3 linked regions of the Yarrowia lipolytica genome follow. The main gene of each other region encodes a partner of the protein of the gene in region 3 in a complex. Links are inferred from orthologs where the notes say so. Each region holds a gene or a part of one and is shown on either strand. Other genes may lie near its edges.

What was found.
Region 1: YALI1_D24687g (region 3) and YALI1_D26142g share a complex: the UniProt entries of both Schizosaccharomyces pombe proteins name them as parts of the RNA polymerase III (Pol III) complex. The link is inferred for Yarrowia lipolytica from reciprocal best matches to the Schizosaccharomyces pombe genes rpc37 and rpc17.
Region 2: YALI1_D24687g (region 3) and YALI1_D28213g share a complex: the UniProt entries of both Schizosaccharomyces pombe proteins name them as parts of the RNA polymerase III (Pol III) complex. The link is inferred for Yarrowia lipolytica from reciprocal best matches to the Schizosaccharomyces pombe genes rpc37 and rpc11.

What each region holds. Positions count from the first base shown.
Region 1 is NC_090773.1:2,610,197-2,617,609, reverse strand, and holds YALI1_D26142g (uncharacterized protein), read left to right. Parts: upstream 1-3,431; coding exon 3,432-3,911; downstream 3,912-7,413. Other genes in the region: YALI1_D26186g (uncharacterized protein), read left to right, coding at 1-1,916; YALI1_D26146g (40S ribosomal protein uS13), read right to left, coding at 2,208-2,619, 2,970-3,016; YALI1_D26114g (uncharacterized protein), read right to left, coding at 4,281-5,775, 6,088-6,215. UniProt on the Schizosaccharomyces pombe protein: DNA-dependent RNA polymerase catalyzes the transcription of DNA into RNA using the four ribonucleoside triphosphates as substrates. Specific peripheric component of RNA polymerase III which synthesizes small RNAs, such as 5S rRNA and tRNAs.
Region 2 is NC_090773.1:2,818,771-2,826,373, forward strand, and holds YALI1_D28213g (uncharacterized protein), read right to left. Parts: upstream 2,996-7,603; coding exon 2,957-2,995; intron 2,502-2,956; coding exon 2,208-2,501; downstream 1-2,207. Other genes in the region: YALI1_D28221g (uncharacterized protein), read left to right, coding at 3,316-4,845; YALI1_D28242g (uncharacterized protein), read left to right, coding at 5,384-5,505, 5,553-5,856; YALI1_D28259g (uncharacterized protein), read left to right, coding at 7,055-7,125, 7,176-7,461. UniProt on the Schizosaccharomyces pombe protein: DNA-dependent RNA polymerase catalyzes the transcription of DNA into RNA using the four ribonucleoside triphosphates as substrates. Component of RNA polymerase III which synthesizes small RNAs, such as 5S rRNA and tRNAs.
Region 3 is NC_090773.1:2,463,972-2,471,517, forward strand, and holds YALI1_D24687g (uncharacterized protein), read left to right. Parts: upstream 1-4,689; coding exon 4,690-5,490; downstream 5,491-7,546. Other genes in the region: YALI1_D24649g (uncharacterized protein), read left to right, coding at 927-1,242, 1,727-2,520; YALI1_D24718g (uncharacterized protein), read right to left, coding at 6,172-7,546. UniProt on the Schizosaccharomyces pombe protein: DNA-dependent RNA polymerase catalyzes the transcription of DNA into RNA using the four ribonucleoside triphosphates as substrates. Specific peripheric component of RNA polymerase III which synthesizes small RNAs, such as 5S rRNA and tRNAs.

The sequences.
Region 1 (7,413 bases), about 150 kb from region 3:
TGTTCTCCTCGTTCCCGGGTGGCCTGGACGTTGACATTAGACACGAACTGGTTGCTGCATGCATTTCCGAAGGAGTTCTGCCCAAAGACGCCTTCAACGCGATTTTCAAAGACTCAGGAATCAGCGTAGAAGCCCTCGATTACGCAGACGAGCTGACGATCGACGGACAGGCTATGAGCCTAGATACAATGGCAGAGCAGCTGAGCTACGAGAATCTCGAGATTGGGTCTGTTTCCGACTGTCTCATGTCCAAGGTGGTCGCTCAGATGGAGAAGCTGAGTGGAAACGCACAGGAAGCGCTGACCAAACGGCTGCTAGTGTGCCTGGCAGACTTTGTGCAGGCAGGAAACGTTCGACCAGTACGATACATGTGCCAAGCTTTGGCACTGAACACAACTGCTGTCGACATTATGGCCCTTTGTGTCGATCCCATGCTATTACTCAAGGCTCTGGTCGACTGCATTGAGCTATGGAGAGAGGAGGAGGACGAGGCCAACTACCAAGAAGCTTACACGGACTTTGGAGCCATTGTGGTCTTTGCCATCACCCTCAAGCAGCGCTATCATCTCGATTTGGCCCTGTTGAACCAATTTGGAACACTCTTTGTGGGTGCTCCTTCGCCCTCCAGCACCATGCCATCACACGAGTTGTTTCTGTCACAGCTTCTCACAGAAAGCGACTCTTCACAACGCATTTTCCATCTTTCCGACGAACAGAACGACCAGCTCAGTGGATGGGCTACCGCTCTGTATGACGCTGGAGGCATCTCCGACGATCTAATGCGATCGTCATCCGTAAAGCAATTCTTTCTTGTCACCCCTGCCATTTTTCAACAAAGCATGCTCGCCCACGAGAAGGGCCTACTTTCTCTGTCGACCTTCAAGGGAGGCCTGGAGTATTTTTTGCAGCCCTTTCTGTTGGGATCAACAGTGGGAGTGTTCAAGTGGTTGTCGGAACAACTATGGGTGCATTCGCAAAAGGGACACGACGAGCAGATGAGTACAGTTATATCTGTTTGTTCCACTCTAATTCTCACCGATAACACTGACATTGAGGTCTTGTCTCCTATTCATCAAATGGTGCTGGCTATATGTGCTGACGAAATGTACGAGGCTCTGGATATGGCTCTGAGGGCAGGCTACATGGTTGAAAACCGGGTGTTTGAGTTCCTCGAGCCTTTTGTTTCGGCCATCAACTACAATCTCAACGTGCAGCGAACAGTGTCGTCTTCTGGTTTCCGATCGCAAAAGGGAATCGGTATGAGTGGGGGTGGAGGAAGTGGTACCAAGGAGCAGACGTGGAAATACGGTGCTTCCATGATTGCCACCATCAAGGAGCAGGTGTCGTCACTCATCAGTTGGTCGCAAAACCAGTACACGGGTCCCCCGTTTGGATACGAGCTTGTGATGATCCTGTCGTCGGTCGACACTCTGGGCCATAAGTACGTTCTGGAGCAGCTGATCGAGGAGATTGCGCTGGCGGACTCCAACGGCACAGGCCATTATACCGTGGAAGTTGTTGCTACGATTGCTACGGTTGCATTCATCATTTCCACGTCTGTGAAGAGTCCACGACCGTTTTCCGACTCACAGCTCATTCTCAAGTCACTCGATAACATGGTCAACGACTCCACGGGCAAGAGCAAGGACATTTGCGTGCTGCTGCAGTCCAAGATTCTGCAGTTGTTGACTACAGCAGGCTACAAACCCGACGGAAGTCGTCTGGACGGCAAACCACATGCTAAAGAGGACTATTCGTTTGTGGTGAACCGAACGGGCGAGGTTGAGAATAAGCCCATCAACGACTCGTCGCAAAACTCCAACACTGACAACCAGTTTATGGACACTAACATGTTTGGAGGCGACGACTTCACCATGGACTTTGGCGGCGACATTGACATGCCCGACTTGTTCTAGGGTGTTTGTACAGTAATTTTATTCATATTTAATCACATGTGTAGGCGATGAGACTGCTATCTGCTCAACACAGTGTGCGATATACCCAGATTTGCACGCAGAAGGTCCAATGTGATCCACTGCACTTGAACCTGTGATTCTCGTCACACACAGCTGGGAATGGTGGTACAGTACTTGTCTACACACAGCCAAACGGCCCAAACATGTCCTGCTACAAACCGCGGCCTGACCTGGTCAGCCCTACACATGTCCTCAATAGCATTTTAATAATTTTACATGTACATGCACGTTTTAACCTCGGTGAGCCATGATCTTACCCTTTCGAGTGGTAGTCTTGGTGTGCTGACCTCGGACCTTGTAGCCCCAGTAGTGTCGGAGACCTCGGTGGGCTCGGATCTTCTTGAGTCGCTCAATATCGTCTCGCAGCTTGACATCAAGCTGGTTAACGAGCAGCTGGGAGTCCTTACCGTCGGTAAAGTCTCGCTGTCTGTTAAGGAACCAGCCGGGAATCTTGTACTGACCAGGGTTCTGGATGATAGTAACGATTCGCTCGAGCTCCTCGACGGTGAGCTCACCGGCTCGCTTGGAGAGATCGACATCGGCCTTCTTGCAGACCAGGTTGGCGTATCGTCGACCAACACCCTTGATCTTGCACATGGCGTACATGACCTTGATTCGGCCGTCAACGTTAGTGTTGAGGAGTCTGAGTTAGCAAAATACTTTCTAGTGGCTGAAGGGAGTGATCACCGATTAGTGGCCCTTGATGAGACTGATCACGATCCATCAAATCTCAAGCATCATAAAAACGAAGTGGTAGGCAGAAGTTGACAGTCAGACAAATGTACGCAAACAGGTAAGAACACATAGTGTAAACACGCAGAACAAATGCTCAAACATGTTCAGTCTGCTTGGTCCTTTCCATGTCGCATGACCCGTCTTTACTCATCATTGACCTTCTGTGCCTTCTGTATCTCCATCACAAACCACCATATCGAGCTTCAATAATCGTGTAATAAATTCTCTCCCTGTTCTCTCTGTGCTGTCTGTACATACCGAAGAATGTGCTGGAAGTTGCCTTGTTCAGTGACGACGAGGGACATTTTGGCGTGTAGTTATGGGTCGACCGGTGATGATGAAAGAACTGGTGCTTTACACACTGAACTTTCGTTTGCAATTTTCCGAGTCCAACTCTATCCAAAACGGAAATATCATGTGACACTTAGGGTTAGCCCTAAGAGCCATGAAAACAGAGGCAGGAGGACAACGTGCGGTCGTAGGTTCGATCCCCAAAGATGTAAAACATTTAAATTTGGGAGTTCCAAAGCTTAAATTAAACCAGCTCTGGGATTGTGGTCTTGCTTACTAAGCGCACAATTTGAGAAGGGCAAAAATCTACCGATCCGAGAGTATTCAAAAATACAGCATCACAGTGACACAGATATCCGTTTCGGGTGTCTTGGCACATCTTACAGCCTTGTACTCACGTGTGTGGATCTCCTAAGATGCTGTGAGTTCATGCACACCTTGCATAATTCAGAAAAAAAGTGTTGTCGTGAATATACCAGTATTATCAACAACATGAAGGTGGAAAAAACTCGAGAGGCTCTGCTGTCCAACTTTGAGGTGCTGGCTCACGTGCGGGACCAGGAGCGTGCCCGACGAATGTCCCAATCCGCGTCGGCAGCCTCCAACCAGGGCACTTCCCATGCCGAAAACCTCGAAACCGTCATCTACGAGCTCAAGGACTATCTCAACAAGTCTCCTGCTGCCAGCCAGTCGCCAGAGGCCATTACGTTGTTTCTGCAGAAGATCAACCATCTGGGGCTCGAAAAGGCCGAGCGATTGCAGCTCATCAACTCCGTGCCCACGTCTATCGTGTCGTTATACTCCCTGATCGAGGAGTGCGATCAGCGTTACAATGAGGACCAATGTGAGGAGATTCTGGACGCGATTAGAACAACTCTGGTCAGTGAAGAGGATGCTATCGCTGAATAGCGAGTTCACAATGAGCAGATGCCGAAGACAAGGCTTTTGGCAGTCGACTCAACCATGACACACCCAAAACAATGTATACTACGGAAAAGTGTGGAGGACACGTTTGCATATAATTTAATGAACAATAACGATTGATCAATCAAGTACAAGTACAAGTACACACGAGAGTTGATAGTGTCATAAATACCGTTACCAGTTTTGTTTCTCTTTGTGGTCTTGTTCATCGGAGTGTATACAGTATCAGCCCAATGTCTACACCAAGATTTGTACAGAGCCATCAACTTTCAAAGGCAGTATCGGTGTTGTAAACGGTATGACTACACTGCAGTGTGTCGCAAAACATCTATAATATCATTATCCAAACCCATTTTACTCGCCCTTCTTTCTAACTCCAGACACGATATCGTCGACTCGCAACAACAAGCAAGCAGACTCAATGGCGGTCTTGATACTCTGCAGCTTGATGGCAGCAGGCTCCCACACGCCGTACTCCTTCATGTCAACAACCTTTCCGTTGTCACCGTCAATGCCGTATGTGGAGAAACCCTCGGCTTGCTTAGCTCGCAGGGTGGCCAGAGTTCGAATGGCATTACCACCACAGTTCTGAACCAGGGTTCGGGGAATCACCTCCATGGCATCAGCCACGGCCTTGAAGGGCCACTGTGCAACACCCTCGATGGTCTTGGCATGCTCGGCCAGTCGCACGGACACAGCCATCTCTGTAGCACCTCCTCCGGGAGCCAGCTTGGGCTCGAAGAAGACGTTTCGAGCCACAGCCATGGCGTCAGCCAGATTTCGCTCAATCTCGTTGAGAATGTCCTTGGAGGGTCCTCGCAGCAGCACGGTGCATGCCTGGGGGTCTTCGCCTGTGATAAATGTGTAGTACTCATCACCAATCTTGGAGATCTCAAACAGGTTGCACAGAGTACCAACGTCGGAGTCCTTGATGTCCTCGATTCGGTTGACGATGGTGGCGCCAGTGACTCGTGAGATTCGGTTGTTATCGCTCTTTCGCATTCGTCGAAGCACACTGCAGCCGCCCTTAAGCAGATAGTGCTGGGCCAGATCAGACACACCCTTCTCGGTGATGATCAGGTCGGGTTTTACCGATAGCAGCACCTCGCACTGCGCCTTGATCTGCTCCTCCTCCAGCTGCAGCACTCGGTTCCAGTCGGCCTCCTTACTGATCTCAATGTTGGTCTGAGATTCACCCTTCTTGTACTCGAGAGGACAGTCAAGCAGCACCACACGGGGAGACTCGATTCGCCGTCGCATCTTGGGGTGGGTGATATCCTTGTTGATCATGACACCGTCCAACACACGGGAGTCCTCAATCTCACCTCCGGGAATCTTTTCCACTCGGACGTATCGCTTGATGTCAACCTCCTTCTTGCCGTTAATGTCGACAGCAACGGTCTTGACGGCCTTGAGAGCCAGAGAGGACATCTGCTCGGACCATCGGGACACGTACTTGGTGCCGATGGAGGCGGCAATGAGCTTCTTCATGGCAGCCTCGTTGTTGACGTCAACGGGAACAGAAATCTCCTCTACAACCTTGAGAGCCTCAGCAAGTGCATCCTTGAGGGCGGCGATGATGACAACGGGGTGAATGTTCTTCTCCACGTAGGGGAAGGTCTGAGCAAGAATCTCTCCGGCAAGAATGATGACGGTGGTGGTTCCGTCTCCAATCTCCTCGTCCTGGGTTCGAGACAGCTCGATCATGGACTTGGCTGCAGGATGGGTGACCTCAATCTCTCGCAGAATGGCGTGACCATCGTTGGTCAGGGTGATACCTCCCATGGGGTCGAGAAGCATCTTAAGCATGGCCTTGGGACCAAGACACGTTCGCACAATATCGGCGACACTGGGTTAGTGACATTTCTGAGGGTGGTGGATGTTGGATAAGCGTAATGATGGAACCGGCGGAGTCGACTCGTCGGGAGGAGTTCAATGGTGGTGTTGCATTCCCCCAAACACGACTCTACAGCTTGATATCACCACAAATCAAATGTCCGCCCTATAAGAAAAGATGGCCGAAGCAGCTGTCCACAGCCAAATTGGAAGTCCAAACAACATATAAAGGGTAAAACAGCTACCCCAAACGCCCCAATTTGCCTCCAATTTGCTTCAGAGGCCGTCCACCCCTCCAATTCCACCCTCCACACTCCATACTCACGCCTTTGCAGCAGTAATGTTGCTGGTCTGGGCCTTTCGTCCGATTTGACGTTCCTGGCCGGCGTCTGCAGTTAGTAGTTGTTCGTCGATTGTGTTTTTGCGGCCCCTTTTGTATCCACCGGGTACCATTTCGCATGGTGTTCTTAGTCATGTTGGAGTTACACGTAGAGCATAACACCAGACCTAGGTGGCGATTTGTGCCGCAAAACCCGTCGCGGACAACACGGGGCAAGTCGTGGGACGCGGTAGCACGCAATACTCACTCATAACAACGACAGGAGCTTGCATTGTTGTTGATTTTGTGGTTGATCTGAATGTGCACTTAGCAGAAGAAATCAAGATTTCGAAGAGTAGAGAAAAGTTGGGATAACTTTAATGCGTGGCGAGGCGTCTTGTCTTGGATAAGCTGACTAAGCGGTAGAATCCTGCGGAATCTCGTGGAAGGAGAGGAAAATATTTTCCAAAAGCTGCAGTTGGCTTTTTGTGGTGAAATTGTCATGCGACTGTATATTTTTATTGATTCTGCTGGTGCTTGAGCGTGTGTTGTGGAGTGAGTCTCGAGTGTCATGATGGCATAGAACCATCTGAAATACTCGAGGAGGTTCAAATGTCAAGAAAATACCATTAAATCCGGTCATTATGAGCTATTGGAATACATATTTGAAGTCCCCATACACCCTTCTCTTCTGGTTCTAGCTCCAGTGACGGAGATATGTGTTTGAAGAGCCTAAGATGTTGTTCCAGGACCACCATGGGCGACGGCAGTACACTAGAGAAGTAAGAAGTTGTTTGGAAGAATACACAAGTGCTCAATATCTATCTACAATCTTTTATTTATGTACCAAAGCATCTGGTATGTTTTTATCTGAACATATGTCGCAGCAGTAACACGAGGCGAGAGAGAAGACTCTAGTGGATCAATTGGATCAGAAGAAGAAAAATCACTTCAACAAGTGAATTAAACGGCTCTTTATGTCCGCTAGACACATATTTGGGGGTGTTTTTTCGGCAGATATGGACCATTTACTTGTACATGAACATGAACATGAACATGCAAAAGTGTGTGTATAACAGTGGGAAGAACAGTCGTTGTAGACGTTTTCGAGGTCATTTGGGCACTAGACAAGCCCCCATAAACACCATCATCCGATTAATCACAACTCTCCAGTCAATCCACTCCATCTCCATCATACTACAAGTACAAATACTGTACTTAGAACAGTTTTTCTCGTACACCGTATACAGTAGCACCGGCTCCTGTCTTACTACTAATCTACAAGTAGCTGTACCAAGCAAAAACTGTTGTAGCTCCAATCCAGGTTCAGTG
Region 2 (7,603 bases), about 350 kb from region 3:
GCATGTTTGTGCTGCAAGGATATGTAAGGGGATGCAGGTACGATACATGGTGTGTGTGCTTGTTCAAGCAGGGGTGAAAAGGGAAAATGGTGTATTAGTTGACATTGGTTTAGTTGGAAGGTTCTAGTAGAAGCAGTCTAATTGTGTGATGTTTCGGCTTGGTTCCGATGTCTTGTCATGTGTGTAGGATCTAACTGGGGTGGTGTCTAGCGCGTCATTTACACAGGTCATTAAGTCAGTTTCGCGTCACTCCCTCCATCAATACGACTCACGCACCTCCTCTTCCACCTCTCCAATGCTGTCTTCGGAGATTCCTTGGAAGATTTGCAAATGTCTAGGTTTTGGCGACAGTATGGCGCTTGAGGAAGCCCATGCCGAATTTGAGCTGGAATCCGTGCTGAAACCGAGCCGGTAGCGAGACCTAGAAGTCAGATCCCAGGTGACAAACATGGTCAGTCGCAGCATCACGGATAAGCCAGTGAACCGATAAGTCCAAGATAATGCCAAGTCAATGGAAATCTTTTGTGATGAACCAGATGAACTACCAGTGCCATCTGTGACCATCAGTGCCATCACCACTCATCAACTGCACCGCCAACTACAATCAATGGGACTCGTGGTAAGTGTGGGTTGGATTTCAAGCCTCACACGAGCTGCCTCCATTTCAAGCGCAGGCACTCCCTCAGTCTTTAGGTTCTCAGGAGCTGTGGCGGACCTGCGATAGCGGTCTTGTGGAACCATACATACTGGAGATGTTTGGCAGCCGACCCTGTTGCTGTCTATTGTTTTGACCTACTCGGAGCTGCAGGGTCCAATGCGCGGGCTTTTGCACAGACCGGGGCCCGTCTGATAGTCAACTATCGCCATAAACAGACCCAGAAAGATCCGGCTGGATGAAGATGGAGAGAACCACTGGTACAGATTGCACCTGACAGGCCTTGCGGGGGTTGCGCTCGTTGATGGCTTGAGCCGAGCGAACCGTTGCATTCACGCCGAGGGCATCTATACAATGGTCTATACAAGGCGGGAGTGAATGACAATGACGACTTGATTATGGCTACTCTTGACTGTCCTTTTTTCGGGAGAAGATAAAAAACATGACAGGTTCGAAATTTACCAAGACCACCGTCATCCATGGTACGGTTTGGCCTTCTTGAGACCTGGCAACGTGTTGATCCATGTGTTCCATCTTCTCAAACAAACGGTGATCAAGGTCCGAGGACCGCGCGGCACTTGGCGATGCACTCCAGGTTATCTTCTCCCGGGTCCAGGGCTTTATCCGACACCATGACAACAATAGTGAGCTATATTGAGTGGGTCTCCGACGAACTTGGTGACTAGGCATTTAGGTATGACTTCTTCCGACACTATTGGCAATGATTCGAGATTGCGATGCACGGGTTGGCCCACTTAAGTCAACAGACTGACAGTCGTGTGAACTGTCCCTGGGGCGTAGAACTTCCACAATCTGTTTCTGTTCATCGGACTCTTTCGCAGGGCTTGACTGTTACCGTGACTTGGTTACTTGGCTTCGAATGACATGGATATCGAAGGACCCCTGGAGCAACCGTTGTTTTGCTCTACACCTACCAAGATGTGTGAAGCTCTGTTAAAACCTGGTTTACGCAGTACCGATCAGCGACCACGAATATGTGATTGATATGGAGGCACAGCTAATGTTCCCTGTTTGTTACTGTGAAGAAGCCAGCTTTCTTGAGGTTTTGGACGGCAAACTGGGCATGGGTATTCTGGGGGCTTGACCAGAGCGTGAGCAAGGCGTTCTGAAATGACTCCAAGTCATTTGACAGAGAAATGATGATGGAGCGAACCACTGGAGCGAACCACTTGGGCAAAATGAGCGTTTAGCTCTCCCGATACGATACTGAACTTGGGTAGATCTGGCAACATCCCTACAGTATGTACAGTACGGCCAGTAACATCCGAGTGAACCTCTGTTAACGAATGAATCTCAAACGACTTCTCCTCTGCTGAAGACTTGGAGACTCTCAGGGACACAGGACAAGAAGTGAAGTGTTTGTTACCGAGCCCGGAGTTTGTTTATAATCGCAGGCTGGGCTTTCCCTTCTGTTGACACCTCCATCGATCGGTTCCAGGTCTTCAGTCACTCTCTACACTCAGACAATCAATCATAAATATATTACATGCATTCTATCCTTCCCATAACGTGTTTGGCACGTCTAAGCTCACTAGTTTTCTCTCCACTGGTGGAAACAGGCCGTACATCTGCAAAACTTGGTCATGGGCTCATCCGCAGACCGAATCTGCAACATGTAGAAGTAAGCACCCATGTTGGAACACTTGGGACACTGCGAGCCAGGGTCCTTGTCGACGTTCTCCCAGGCGTTCTCTCCACCGAGAACACTGTCCACCTTCTTCTTTTCCAGGACCTTTCGGTCATACACGATGGTGCCGTCCTGCAAGTAGTACTCGTAGGGACATGTCCGGCACTCGAACCGCATGCCGTTTCCGCTGGTCGACAGCTGAGTTAGTATATGGAGTGTCAATGGTGATTCAGCATGCTTAAGTGGAGTGTGTAACGGGATCAGCAACGAGATCAGTCACGAGATGGGGACATGGTAGATGCGGTGAAGGAGAAAAGCGGACGGTAGATGCGCACACAAATACTTTTAGACAAATCTCAACCTAGATCGAACTCGGCAACCTCTTCTCTCGGGTGTGGTCGATGACTAGCCACTTCATTGATCTGCAAAAAACCGTAAGAGAAGAGTAGAATTGCACATAACTAGTGATAAAGAAGTTTCAAATGATTTCTGACACCTCACCCTCTCTCGCCTCTCGCCCCTCGCCTTTCGCCTTTCGCCTTTCGCTTCTCGTCTCGTCTCATCTCGCCTTCATCCACGCGACCTATGATCTGGTCGTTCCTGGCCCAATCCTGACTCAGCAACCGCCCTCAATATCCCCCCGTCCTACTCACCGTCAACATGTTTGTACAAGTGGGACAAAACGTTAGCATCCTGTGTTTGTGTCGTCTGTGCTGGTGTGAAAAACCAAATAAAAAAGTCTGAAATTCAAAATATAAAAATGGTGGTGGGCGTTTCTCATGCACCTCTGAGTTTTGATCAGTGATTGTCACCACCATTACAATACAATACGGCGCACTAGAGCGACGAGACGGCGACACTTATCCAGCACCGGGGTTCGAGTTCACCAAGAGATTGTTTATCGGTTCCTTTTTAATCTGACCGTTAGAGCATCACCACTGGACGACATACATACCGCAGAGGCGACAAACCCCAGACGGCGCCCGCACCGACTAGTTGTACCATTCATCACATGAGCAGAAGAAAAGCACCAGTTTCGTATTCCGGACTGGACACCAGTGACGTCAGCGATGAGGACTTTGAGGTTGAAGACGAGGTGAGCACACCCAAGAGAAGAAAGACCACGAGTCCGAGAAAACAGACGCCGAGAAGGACGGCGTCGCCTCGAAAGGCACCGGGAACGCCGTCACCGGTGAAACGGTCGCTCCACGACAAATCGGCGCGAAAAAAGGCCAACAGAACACTACTGGATCAGTCTCTGGGACTGGTGAGCGAAGACGAAGATGAAATTGAGCTGGCTGAACGGATCATTGGAGAGAGCCGGGCTCCGATTCTCGACTCGTCCAACGACTTCCACACCGACGAACGGTCGCTGGCCAACGTGGGTGCCCTGATTGCGGCTGAAGACCGCGTTCTGTTCCTGGACTCTTCAGAGGGATACTTTGACCAACACAAGACCCGAGGACGAGGTAACGCCAACACCATGGCCAAGGCGCCTGCCATCGACCACTCCGTCTTCTTTAAGTACACAAACCAGGCCAATGAGCTGTTTCATGCCGACCAGAAGAAGATGCTGCGGCATGCTTACCGCGGAATGTTCTCGCAATGGATTTTCGAGCTTTCGGAAGGGTTTTCGTTGCTGTTTTATGGTCTGGGAAGCAAGAGGGAGTTACTGACTGACTTTGTGTGCGAAAAAGTGGACTCGGAAATCCCCATTCTTGTCATCAACGGATACAATGCGTCTGTCCAGTTCAAGTCGGTGCTCAACAGCGTGGTGGACGTTCTCTACGAGAATCATGAGGACATCTTTGCGAAAAAGGGCTTTGTGGTACGAAACAAACTGCCCAAGGATGTGGATCTCTTGGTGAAACTGGTGGTTGACACTATGCGAGATATTGAAGCTGGTTCAAAGCCGTCGTTGGTGGTCTTGTGTCACAATGTTGATGGCGAGTCGTTGCGGATCGACAAGGCGTCTACTCATCTGTCTCAGCTCATGAGTATTTCTCAAATCTGGTTTGTTGCATCTGTCGATCATATTATGGCTCCTTTGATGTGGGACTCTGCCAAGCTGGCCTCGTACAATTTTGTGTGGCATGATGTGACCACGTTTGCTCCCTACACGGTTGAAACGTCGTTTGACGATCCGCTTTTGCTTGGTAAGAAGGCTGAGGCCCAGGGTGCCAAGGGTGTCAAGTATGTACTTGAGTCGGTCACTCCGAACCATCGAAGTCTCTACAAGAACCTCATTTACTGTCAGCTGGAGGAGTTTCACAATGTGGCTGACAAGAGAAAGCTGCCTGAGGCCGAGGTGGGTGCTCTGACAGGAAGTACGTCCATTTCTGTGGATTATGACAAGGTGTTGACGGAGTGTCTTAACGAGTTGACGGTTTCTAACAAGAAGGATTTCCAGGAGAAACTCAAGGAGTTTATGGACCATAAGATGGTGGTTGCATTTGACGACAAGATGGGCATGAAAAAGCTGTACATTCCCTTTTCGAAGGATGTTGTGCAGCAAATTCTGGAGGGATACCTTGACGCCTAGTGAGGTGAGGTTCACACAAGGCTCAAGTGGGTGTAGGTCATGGCTGCAGATCATGTGGTCATAGAGCGTTCCACTCTGTATATAACAAAGATGTAATACGCAATTGATTTTCATGTCTGCAAGGGAATACTCCGACTAACATTCCCCGAGTTCATGTCAGTGGCTCGGAAGATGGCGTCGCTGCAGCAGTCTTGGAGGCTTGTTTCCGGTTACGTTGCACTGTTTTCATATCCTCACGGCCTCTTCGAATCCCACTCGTCGTGTTTCCATTCTCCGCAATGGCTCCGGAGGAAGGCTGGGGAGTTCGTACTTGTAGGTCTGAGCTACGGATACCAGTTCCAGTTCGACAACATTGTCGAGCATGAGTGGTTGATTCTGTTTGTGTCGACTTTCTGGGAAAGTGCTGCCACTTCGGAGCCTGGTTTGCCCACCAGTTTGAGGACGTGCTCATCTCCCGCCCACAATCTGCCCAGACCCCCGATCGAAGCCTCTAGGCAATCAGTTGTGTGGCCAGTCGCTTCAATGTCAGCTCAACCGGATGTGTAGGAACTTCTCTCTAGTAGCCCTCTTAAGTGATAAGCAGCATCCTCAGACTCCACAGACACAAGTACTCGCCAACAGCAACCGGACTGCCCGAATACAAGCCTGGTTGTGGCTGTAGTTGACGGACTCTGCGGAGTCTCGCAGTAGCAATAGACCGGTACAAGTCAGCAGCAAGAAGAGGTCCACTCTGGGAGCTTGCGTGTGCACAAGCGTCCATGTGTGACAGCTGGAGCGGAGGGATCTGGGCTTGTGGTAGAGATATCGACGGAGAAGAGTGACAAGTCTTCCACGTTCACAGCGGTCACAGGGCACAGGCGCAGGCACAGGTGTTCTTCTATGATGGCGATGTACCCAGCACAGCACCCAATGAGTAGACCGCGTAGGCCAGAAATATGGCACCCACACCGACTAGGACCTGTAGGCGTACAGACACAAGACTGGGAAGAACAGAAGACAAGGAGACGCTAACAAGACGTTAACAAGAGGCCATGAGATGTTGAGTGGTGAACAGCGTTCCTCCTGGTAGTTGCAACTCAAAATGAACCTGACCAACTGGATACAGAAGTGATGGGGACGCAAAAATCACCAATTTACGCACAATATCGCACATTGTGAGCCGTAGTCTCTTCCATTCATGTCATCGAAAGATGACTGTACAGTATTTTACACACTCTAATTGTGCTGAAATACGTCTTCTCCCCACAGGATCGTTCAGCTGGTTGCTGCCATGTCTCTTCACACAATCAATGTGATTTGCACCAGACTTGCAAGTCATGACGCCTCCGTAGATGCAATTTCTTTCGGCGAGGTCCTGCTGAAGTAGGAGTGGGCGTGGTATCGCTGCCCGCAGTCGTGAGTCGCCTGGTCTGTTGCTTGGACATCTTGATTCAGCACATGTTGGGTCACGAGCCATTTTCGCCGGTAATGTCCATCATGACCTTGGGCCCAATCATGGACGGCCTGAATGTCTCGTTCCAAGAGGCTGATTAGATACAAGTGCTGAATGTTGAATGTTTCTCTCCGAGAATATCCACGATAATGAGAGTCGTGAATGCAACACCTTGACATGGCGACGAACCACTCCGTTCCATGTTGAGGGACAAATTCACTCAGCAGAATTTGTCAACCTGATGGCGTGCTCAGTCGTTCCCCCACTAGGATACAGAGTGCCTCTGATGAGTCTCTCTAATAGAGAGAAGAGTCGGAGCGCCTCCAGCAAGTGGTATGTAAGTCGCCAAGTTATTTTGGTATATAAAATTTCATTTTATACAAAAGTCGTTACCTCTACCGACAGTGGAGGTGAAGATAAGTTCAAGTGACCATGAGATCAACTGAAGGTGGGAACATGATAGTGAATCAGACTGGTGAGAGGAATACTGGAGTTGAAACATACAAAAGAATCATGTAACCACAATCAATGTCATGTTATATACCTGTTTCGTTTTCAAAACACAGTGGTGTTCAAAAGTCGACTCCTTTCTTCCGAAAAGGGAAAAAACAGGAAAAACAGGAAAAAAGAAAAAAAAAAGTAATTTTCAACCCTGAAGTTGACAATTGCCTCATGATTTGCGGTCACGTGACCCGGCTTTTGTCGTTGTCAGCTGTTTCTGCCGCATCCTTTGGTCCTATGTTCTAAGAGTTGGAGGTCGGTTGACTTTACCAAGTGATGGCTCTTCTGATGCAAGTCCATGATCTACTGTCATATCTCCGAAAGCAGTCACCAGGTTTGGATCGGCCGTCTCAAGATGCTGTACCGGTAGAATGGGGCCACAGAAGTGAACTCCTAGGTATGGGTTAAGACCGGAGACGAGTGCGAAGCGATTCTACTGTAGTCTGTGTAGTCTCACTGGAGCGTACTCGCACTTACACTCATTCACATCTCTCGTACAGTACTCGTGTCTCGTACGGTACTCGTGTCTCGTGCTCTCCCTCGTACGGTACTCATGTCTCGTGCTCTCCCTCGTACGGTACTCGTGTCTCGTACGGTACTCGTACTCTCCCTCGTACTCTCCCTCGTACTCTCCCTCGATCCTCCACGGACTTGTCATCATCATGTCACCGCGGGCTTATTGACGTCATTGAGCAAGTCTAGCTCCGGCAGAAAAGCCACGAGAGGACTGCCCACTGTAAGGCGCTGACAAGTCCAGTAATTGCAGTACCACACCACCCTCTACCCTCCACCCATCTCTGACCATCACCTCTGACCCTCACCTCA
Region 3 (7,546 bases):
ATGACTTCGCTGTGCTGGTTGTGTGTGTATCAAGCAGAGGATATACTGTGACGATAGGACTGTGTGAGGTTGGAAATCGAAGAGCCAGCACAAGTCGTGCGACCCTCGCCATGGGAGTGGGGGTTTCTACGGGTTTGTCTCTCGGTTATTATGACCTTTATCGTACTGGCTTACTCGTACTGACATACTCGTACTGACAGATACTGGAATTGTATTCGTACATGCCATACTGCACTGCCAATAGGAAATGTGTTTCCTGGACACTTTGAGGCGTCACAGCTCAGTTACTCCTGCTCATTGGAGAGAATCATGACGTTGCTAATTGTCCGTGATAATCTGAATAAAACGTTTCCATTGGTCAACTATGTCCGGACACCTTCCAGTTTCTCCATTCGTAAGTCATGTTCTTTCCATCTCATTGAAGTAGACTACTTACTGTACATACTGTACATACTATATATGCAGAAAAAAAAAGAAAAAAACTGTATGTAGACCTTCTATAATCTGAAGTTCAGTTCGATTCTCAAGTGTCACCAACAGTTCTTTTCTTGTGGCCTCAGATGTGCACCAAACGATGATGCTTGCAAGAAGGGTTCACCCGAACGATGACACTTGCAAGAAGGTTCCCCGAACGATGACGCTTGCAAGTAGGGGTTCGAATGTTCTGAAGAGTGCAATTGATTCATTCTCTGCCTAAGCGGACTGAAATCGGCCCTGTCCGTCATACACCCCACTGCACCCAAACCTAATTCACCCCACCAAACTAACCCCACATTGTTGTGATCATAAGAGGTTATACAGCAACACCATCTTTCACAGGAAGAGACCGTATCTTCTTCCAACCGCTACAAAACGACCCACGTGCCAATCGCCACGTGACTCATACTACCACATCGTCGACAACAACACCGCAACTATCGTCAACCATGCTCTATGCCCATACTCTCATGTTGGTGGCTCCAGTTGATGGAGCTGTCCAGCAGGTGAGCCAGCTGTATGCACCAGTGTTGCGCAAGGCGCTGGAAATGACGTATCAGAACGGAACTCTGGATATTCTGACACTGGCGGCGCCTACCACGGCATTTGAGGCCGAGAAGCTGCTGCAGCAGTTCTACGGACTGGCTGTGGAGGAGGCCGCCAAGCTCGGTAGACAGTCCATTGACGTGCGGGTGCTGTTGGACGGCGAAAATGTCAAGTTGGATCGACAGCAGAGTTGGGAGGTGTTGGTGGCGGGCAAGTTTGGTGAGTATTGCCAGCGGGCGAAGCCAGCTTCCGAAGGACGCAGAAGACCAGGTTCTGGCGAAAGTCTCATTATCTGAGCCGCGGGGTCGTGAGAAAGACCTTGAAGTGAGCTTGATAGTGTCAGAGATGACAGATCAGTTCGTCATGCTGCTGATTTAGTCATGTCGTGAGCTGGATCGTGATCTGAGAGCGAGTGTTGCATTTGCACGGAGAGTGTGAAAGTTTTACTCGTGCTTGAGCACCAGATATGAGACGATCAAAGCCAGGTGGACAGCTTGTTGTGTCTTTCTGATGCTGCCCTTCTTTCCTCCATCAACGACGCCATTGCACAGTCCTCAAGATGTCATCTGTCATGTATTCTGACGAGACATATAATCTCACCCTTGACATGACAAAAAAGATCGACTAATCTCACATCTTGGTCTACAACACGTGGCACGTTTTCTCTCTGCCCTTGGACCTCATCGAACTTATGCTAACACAGAATCGGACCTCTGTTCTTCCTTCCGAGACTCGTTCATCCACTCAGCCACTGTATCCACCCTTCCGGTCATTATTCTGCCACAAGCTACAGACCCCGGTATGTTTGACCAGTCCCGAAAGTCTCAGGAGCCCTCCTACGACTCTACAGGCTACGAGGGAAGTGGCTACGAGATGGACTACGAAAAGCCAGGCTACAAGTTCGACCATGAACATCCCGAGGGACATACGACCGGGGGTACAAACACCCCTGATCACGTGGCCAACCCCGTGACGCTCAACAAGGCCGAGGAGCTGCTGGCGAATGCTTCTGAGGAGCAGTATTCTGTAGTTGCTCTGGGTGGCACTTTTGACCACCTGCACGCCGGCCACAAGATTCTGCTTACGTTGGCAGCCTGGTTGACGCGGGACAAGCTGATTGTGGGCATCACGGGCCCTCAGCTGCTGACTAAGAAGAAGTACGCCGAGGCCATGGAGTCGTTCGATGTGCGCGAGAGCCACGTTACCCAATTTCTCAACTACATTTCCCCTCCCCTTCGTCTTCAGCCTGTCATGATTAACGATGTTTATGGCCCTACTGCTTCGGATCCCGATATTGATGCTCTTGTCTTGTCTGCCGAGACTCGAGGTGGAGGAGCTGCCATCAACAAGGTGAGAGAGGAGAAGGGGTGGAGCCAGCTAACGGTATTTGAAATCAACATTGTCGGTGGCAAGGGCAATGAGGAGGACAATTGGGCTGACAAGCTGAGTTCGACGCAGCTGAGAAAGGAGGCATTGGAGAAGAAGGAGAAGTTGTGAGGGGGTGGGAGCAAGTTGTAGCTATGAGTGAGCTATCAGCGAAGCGCGTAGTCTAAAAACAGGAACAGAGTGACACTTTCTGGATCAAACGTTGCGCGGCTAGTTGGTAAGTGTTCCCCTGTTATCCACTGCTTTCTCATGATTTTACAGCTTGTTCGTGATCCCTGACATGAACGGAGCGGCTACCCCTCAATGGAAACGACCGGCTCCACTACTGCCCATCTCCCAGAATACAATATAGGAATACATGCATTTTATCGAGCGTGGGAGGCGTACTTGTACAACTGTATACAAGTACATACTGTGGTTGTTGGAGGACTCTATCTACCAGTTAAAAATGAGCTGTTTTAGGAATTGTCACTTCGGAATCGTACAAGTTCACCCTTGACAAAATGTCTTTTGTCGTCGAGAGCTGTGCAAGCAAAATGGCTTGTGTATGGAGCACAGGAAGACCTACAAATACTGTACTGTGCTTTTTCAAGAACTAATAGATCTTCTGATTGAAGAAAGGAACAGCTTCAGCGAAGAACATGACATCAAGCACGTGCACAGTGGTTCTTTCGTCATACGTTTTCCTCTAATACAACTCTCAGTTTTTTTTTCTCCTGCATACATTCATTTAATTATTTTTTTTTTTCTGATATACATTCATTTAATTATAACTTTGCCCGTGAAAGAATAACCTTTGAAAATGAATGTACGCTTACACACGAATATTTACTAATTAAACACGTTTAGTGTCATGGTCCAACTTGGCACGTACCTATTTCCAGTAAAAAAAATCATAAAAAAAACCTGGTTCAGTCCGTGTTGTATGTTGTCCACATAGCTTCGCGTGTTTGTTCGTTCATCGGGAAAACGCCCCCTCCAGTCTCCAGTTCTCTAATTCTCAATCCTTCCATTGCCCCTCTTCATTTGCATTCCCTTTGAAAACGTCTCCCTTGTTGGTTCTTCTTCGTCATTGGTTTGGTTCTGGCGTCCCCTGTGGTGACCGCGCCCTGCTACCCTTTTCTCTCGGTGGCCTCGGCCGCCTTTTACGCTTGCTACTGTCTTCTACTCTCGCCTCATCGTGAAAGTGCTGGCGGTTGTCCAATCGTAGAAATTTTTTTTTTTCTGCATATCATTCATTTAATTATAAACTTTGCCGTGAAAGAATAACCTTTGAAATGAATGTACGCTTACACGAATATTACTAATTAAAACACGTTTTAGTGTCATGTCCAACTTGGCGTACCCTATTTCGAAAAAAAATCATAAAAAAAACCTGGTTCAGTTCCGTGTTGTATGTTGTGCCACATAGCTTCGCGTGTTTTTGTTCGTTCATCGGAAAACGCCACCCCAGTCTCCTCTCTAATCTCAATCCTTCCATTGCCCTCTTCATTTGCATTGCCTTTGAAATTCTCCTTGTGGTTCTTCTTCGTCATTGGTTTGGTTTGCGTCCCCTGTGGGTGACTACGCGCCCTGCTACTTTCTCTCGGTGGCCTCCGGCCCCCCTTTTACGCTTTGCTACTGTGTTCTACTCTCGCTCATCGTGAAGTGCTGGCGGTTCCATCGTAAAAACACATCTGGGCTTCCTTCAGGAAATTGAAAGCAAACCCTGTTGGACATGTCCCAGGGTGGGCGTCGTCCCCTGAGTACCGGAGGGATACTATAACTTTGCTTGATTGCAATCATTGTTGGTCTAGCTAACTAATTCTTAATACAAGGGGATAGATACGACTAACTCCATATTTTCCAGCTCTTAGGGACATGAACTGTTAAAAAAACCTATTACCGACATTAATTTTTCCAAATGGTATATATTCAATAAGCCTCTGGAATGAACATACATGGCCAAGTATGAATACCCCTTCATCCCCTCTCACCTCTTAACAAACCCCCCCCCCCCCCAAAAAAAAAAAAAAAAAAAAACAGTGCATGGGAAGCTCGTGTTATAGAAGGTCTAAAAACGACATTTTTTTGATAGGTTTTTGTTTACAGTGAGATTACTGAACTTGATAAAGGCAATTTTTCTAATAAAAACCACCCCTTGCCATATAATCATGCCTCTCTTTCAACATCCACTCCTTCCCTGTGGCCGAACATGAAGTCTAAATTTTTCTCAATGCATAATCAAAATCGAGCCGTGATTTTTTTTAAGCGAACATAGACCCAGACACGAAACACACCATGAGCGACCTGTTTGTGCCGGATGAAGACGTGGAGGTCAAGACCGAAGACGCGATGGACGTGGATGTTGCTCCGGTAACCGAGCATGACGACCAAGACGATCCTATTGTCAAGGAGTTCCCGGTGTTCTTCTCGACCAGACTGGCAGGCAACATCCACCTGTACCAGTACCCTGCTCGGTCGGTGGACTCGCCATACACCTCGTCGCACGCCACAGGTATCACCGAGTCGCGAATTAAGAAGGAAAGTGGCGTGGTGGAGGTGGACGTGCCTGTGCCCACAGATCGATGCTACGACCAGGCCAAGGGCACACAATGGAAGAACATCGACAACCAGACGCTCAAGGGCCACCTAGTGGAGTCCAACCCGCAGGAAAACATGGTGGGTGTGTTCAAGAACAATGAGCTTCACCTCAACCCCATTGTTTCCACTGCTCTGTTGCGTCCTTCGTTTGATCATGTGAACCAGGAGAACATCAAGGACCCTGCTGCTGCTGCCGCGGCCAAACGGACAGCCCAGAACGCCAATGAGCCCAAGGCCATTCAGATGACAGTCAAGTCGTCGTCCGAACAGACGCCGCGGTTTTCCGGGGCTCTGCTGGCAGTCAAGAAGGCTGAGGACGAGGAATTTGTCACATTGCAGTGGCGAGATCGTGACCAGGAGGATACTTGGGATGTTGGTGAGCTGCTGACGGCGGAAAAGAAGGACAAACTGGAGTGCTCCACGACCAGAGACGAGTACCTGGAGGCCATTAGTGTGCCCTATGTTGATCCGGTGACTATGGCTGCGAGATGTTTATAGGGAGTGTCCGTCCGAAGTATGCTCACGAACGGAACAGTGCAACATGGAGCAACGAGACAGCTGCCATGGCTGGAGTGATGGCCTTCTGGAAAAATATGGCGGTTGTACGAGCGACAGCCAATGTTGGAGCATCGGTACAATGAAGCGTCTCTTATTGTAGATGTTTGTATAATTAGAATAGATGATATTTATAACGGATGTGGCAAGGAGTAAAAGCTACATAGTGTTAAAAAGTCCCTTTGGTGAGGTTGAGGGCACCACGACCATCTTAGGATAATACACTGTACCGCTCTGGCTAGAGACAGTGCTGTAGATGATCTGTTGGCTGTCGCCTCATCCGCAACTATGTAATCCAACACTGAGAGATAAAAGATCCAGAGGGATATCGTAGGGGAGATAATTTGCCATGGACGTCTGGTTGAACTGGAGGGCCAATATCGTGCGTGTTCGGGGACTTGGTGTTGAAGATACAAGTAACCTCAACTGGTTGATCTCGGAGACGAACTTCAGAGAGTCGAGAGAGTGAATATTATGGCTTGTTACAGACCCTGGAATGTAAAGTACAACTAAATATCAATCAATGCATTATGCTATTTGTACACTTGTGGATGTTGTCTGTAAATTGTCTGTGAGAGAAGTCATTAATCTGAGGGTACAATCTGGGGGTACACAGGTGGTCGTCTAGTAACGATCGTACTCTTCGAACTCCTCGATCCACCGTCCTAACATCAACTCCTCCACCTGATCCCTCTTTCGCTCCTTCTGCTGTCCCACACTAATCCGCTTGCTGGTTCGTTTGTTGGTCATCTGCTCCACCAACTTGGGGTTCTTGATAATCTGGTTAAACAGCTGCTTGACGAAGAAGAATTCTGCCTTAGAGTCCACCTGCTCCAGCGTGTTCCAGCCCTTGGCAAATCGTCGCATCGCATGCTGTTGCGTGTTAGTAGCTGATTCACCACCAATCTCCATGTACGTCTCTTCTATGCATTGCCGCACCAGAGCGTGCACATTTGGAGGACCTGCCTTGATTGTGTCTCCATCAGCAGCCGTAGAAACAGAAGAGACCGACTTGACACTGTTGCCAAGCGACTCGGAAGACATGAACACTTTTCGCAAAGGGTTCTTTAATGTCACTTCCGGTGCATTGTTCTCACTAATGGTCAGTTGTCGAAGTACAGCGGGATTGATTGTGCTGGAACTGCTGTCCATGGACTTGTCCAAGTACGTCTCCATCTTGACGGTACCAAAGTCCCACGAGTCTTCTTCCTCCACCTGGTCCATGCTGACGACCGTCTCCACAGCCATCTTCTTGGGCTTCGTTTTTCGATGTCGCTCCATCCACCGTTCCCGTCTGTCAACCAGCAGTTTGAGCTGGCTTGTCTTTCCAGCCTTGCGGATGAACCGATGTTTCAGAAGCTGTCTTCCAGAAGGTCGTTCAGCGGGGTTCTTGCGCAAACAACATGCCACAAAATCTCGAAAATCTGCAGACCAGTTGCCTCCAGCAGGAACAGTAGGCGGCTCGGCTTTGGGGATCAGAAACAGCACCTTCATTGGATGGTATTCACTCAAAGGAGGTTCTCCCTTGGCAAACTCAATGGCCGTGATTCCCAACGACCAGATATCCGCCTTGGTGTCGTAGTCCTCCTGTCTGATGACCTCGGGTGCCATCCAGAACGGCGTGCCCACAAACGTGTTTCGTCTGCTCATGTTATTACTCAGCTGTGTGGCCACTCCAAAGTCCGCCAGCTTGACAGAGCCTTCTGACGACACAAGCACGTTCGCCGCCTTGACGTCTCTGTGGATCTTGCCATTGTCATGGAGATAAATGAGTCCCTCCAGCAGCTCACGGCACATGACTGCAATTTCGGGTTCATGAAAGATGCCTGGTTTCAGCAAGTCCAGACCCGATCCTCCAGCCAAGTACTCCATGATGATCCACAGCTTGTATCCCCTGACAAAACAGCCATAGTAGGTTGTGATGTGTTCGTCTTGGCAGCCCGATAGAATTGCAATTTCCTTCTGAATCTCCTCAATGTCGTCTTCTGACGACTCCAGG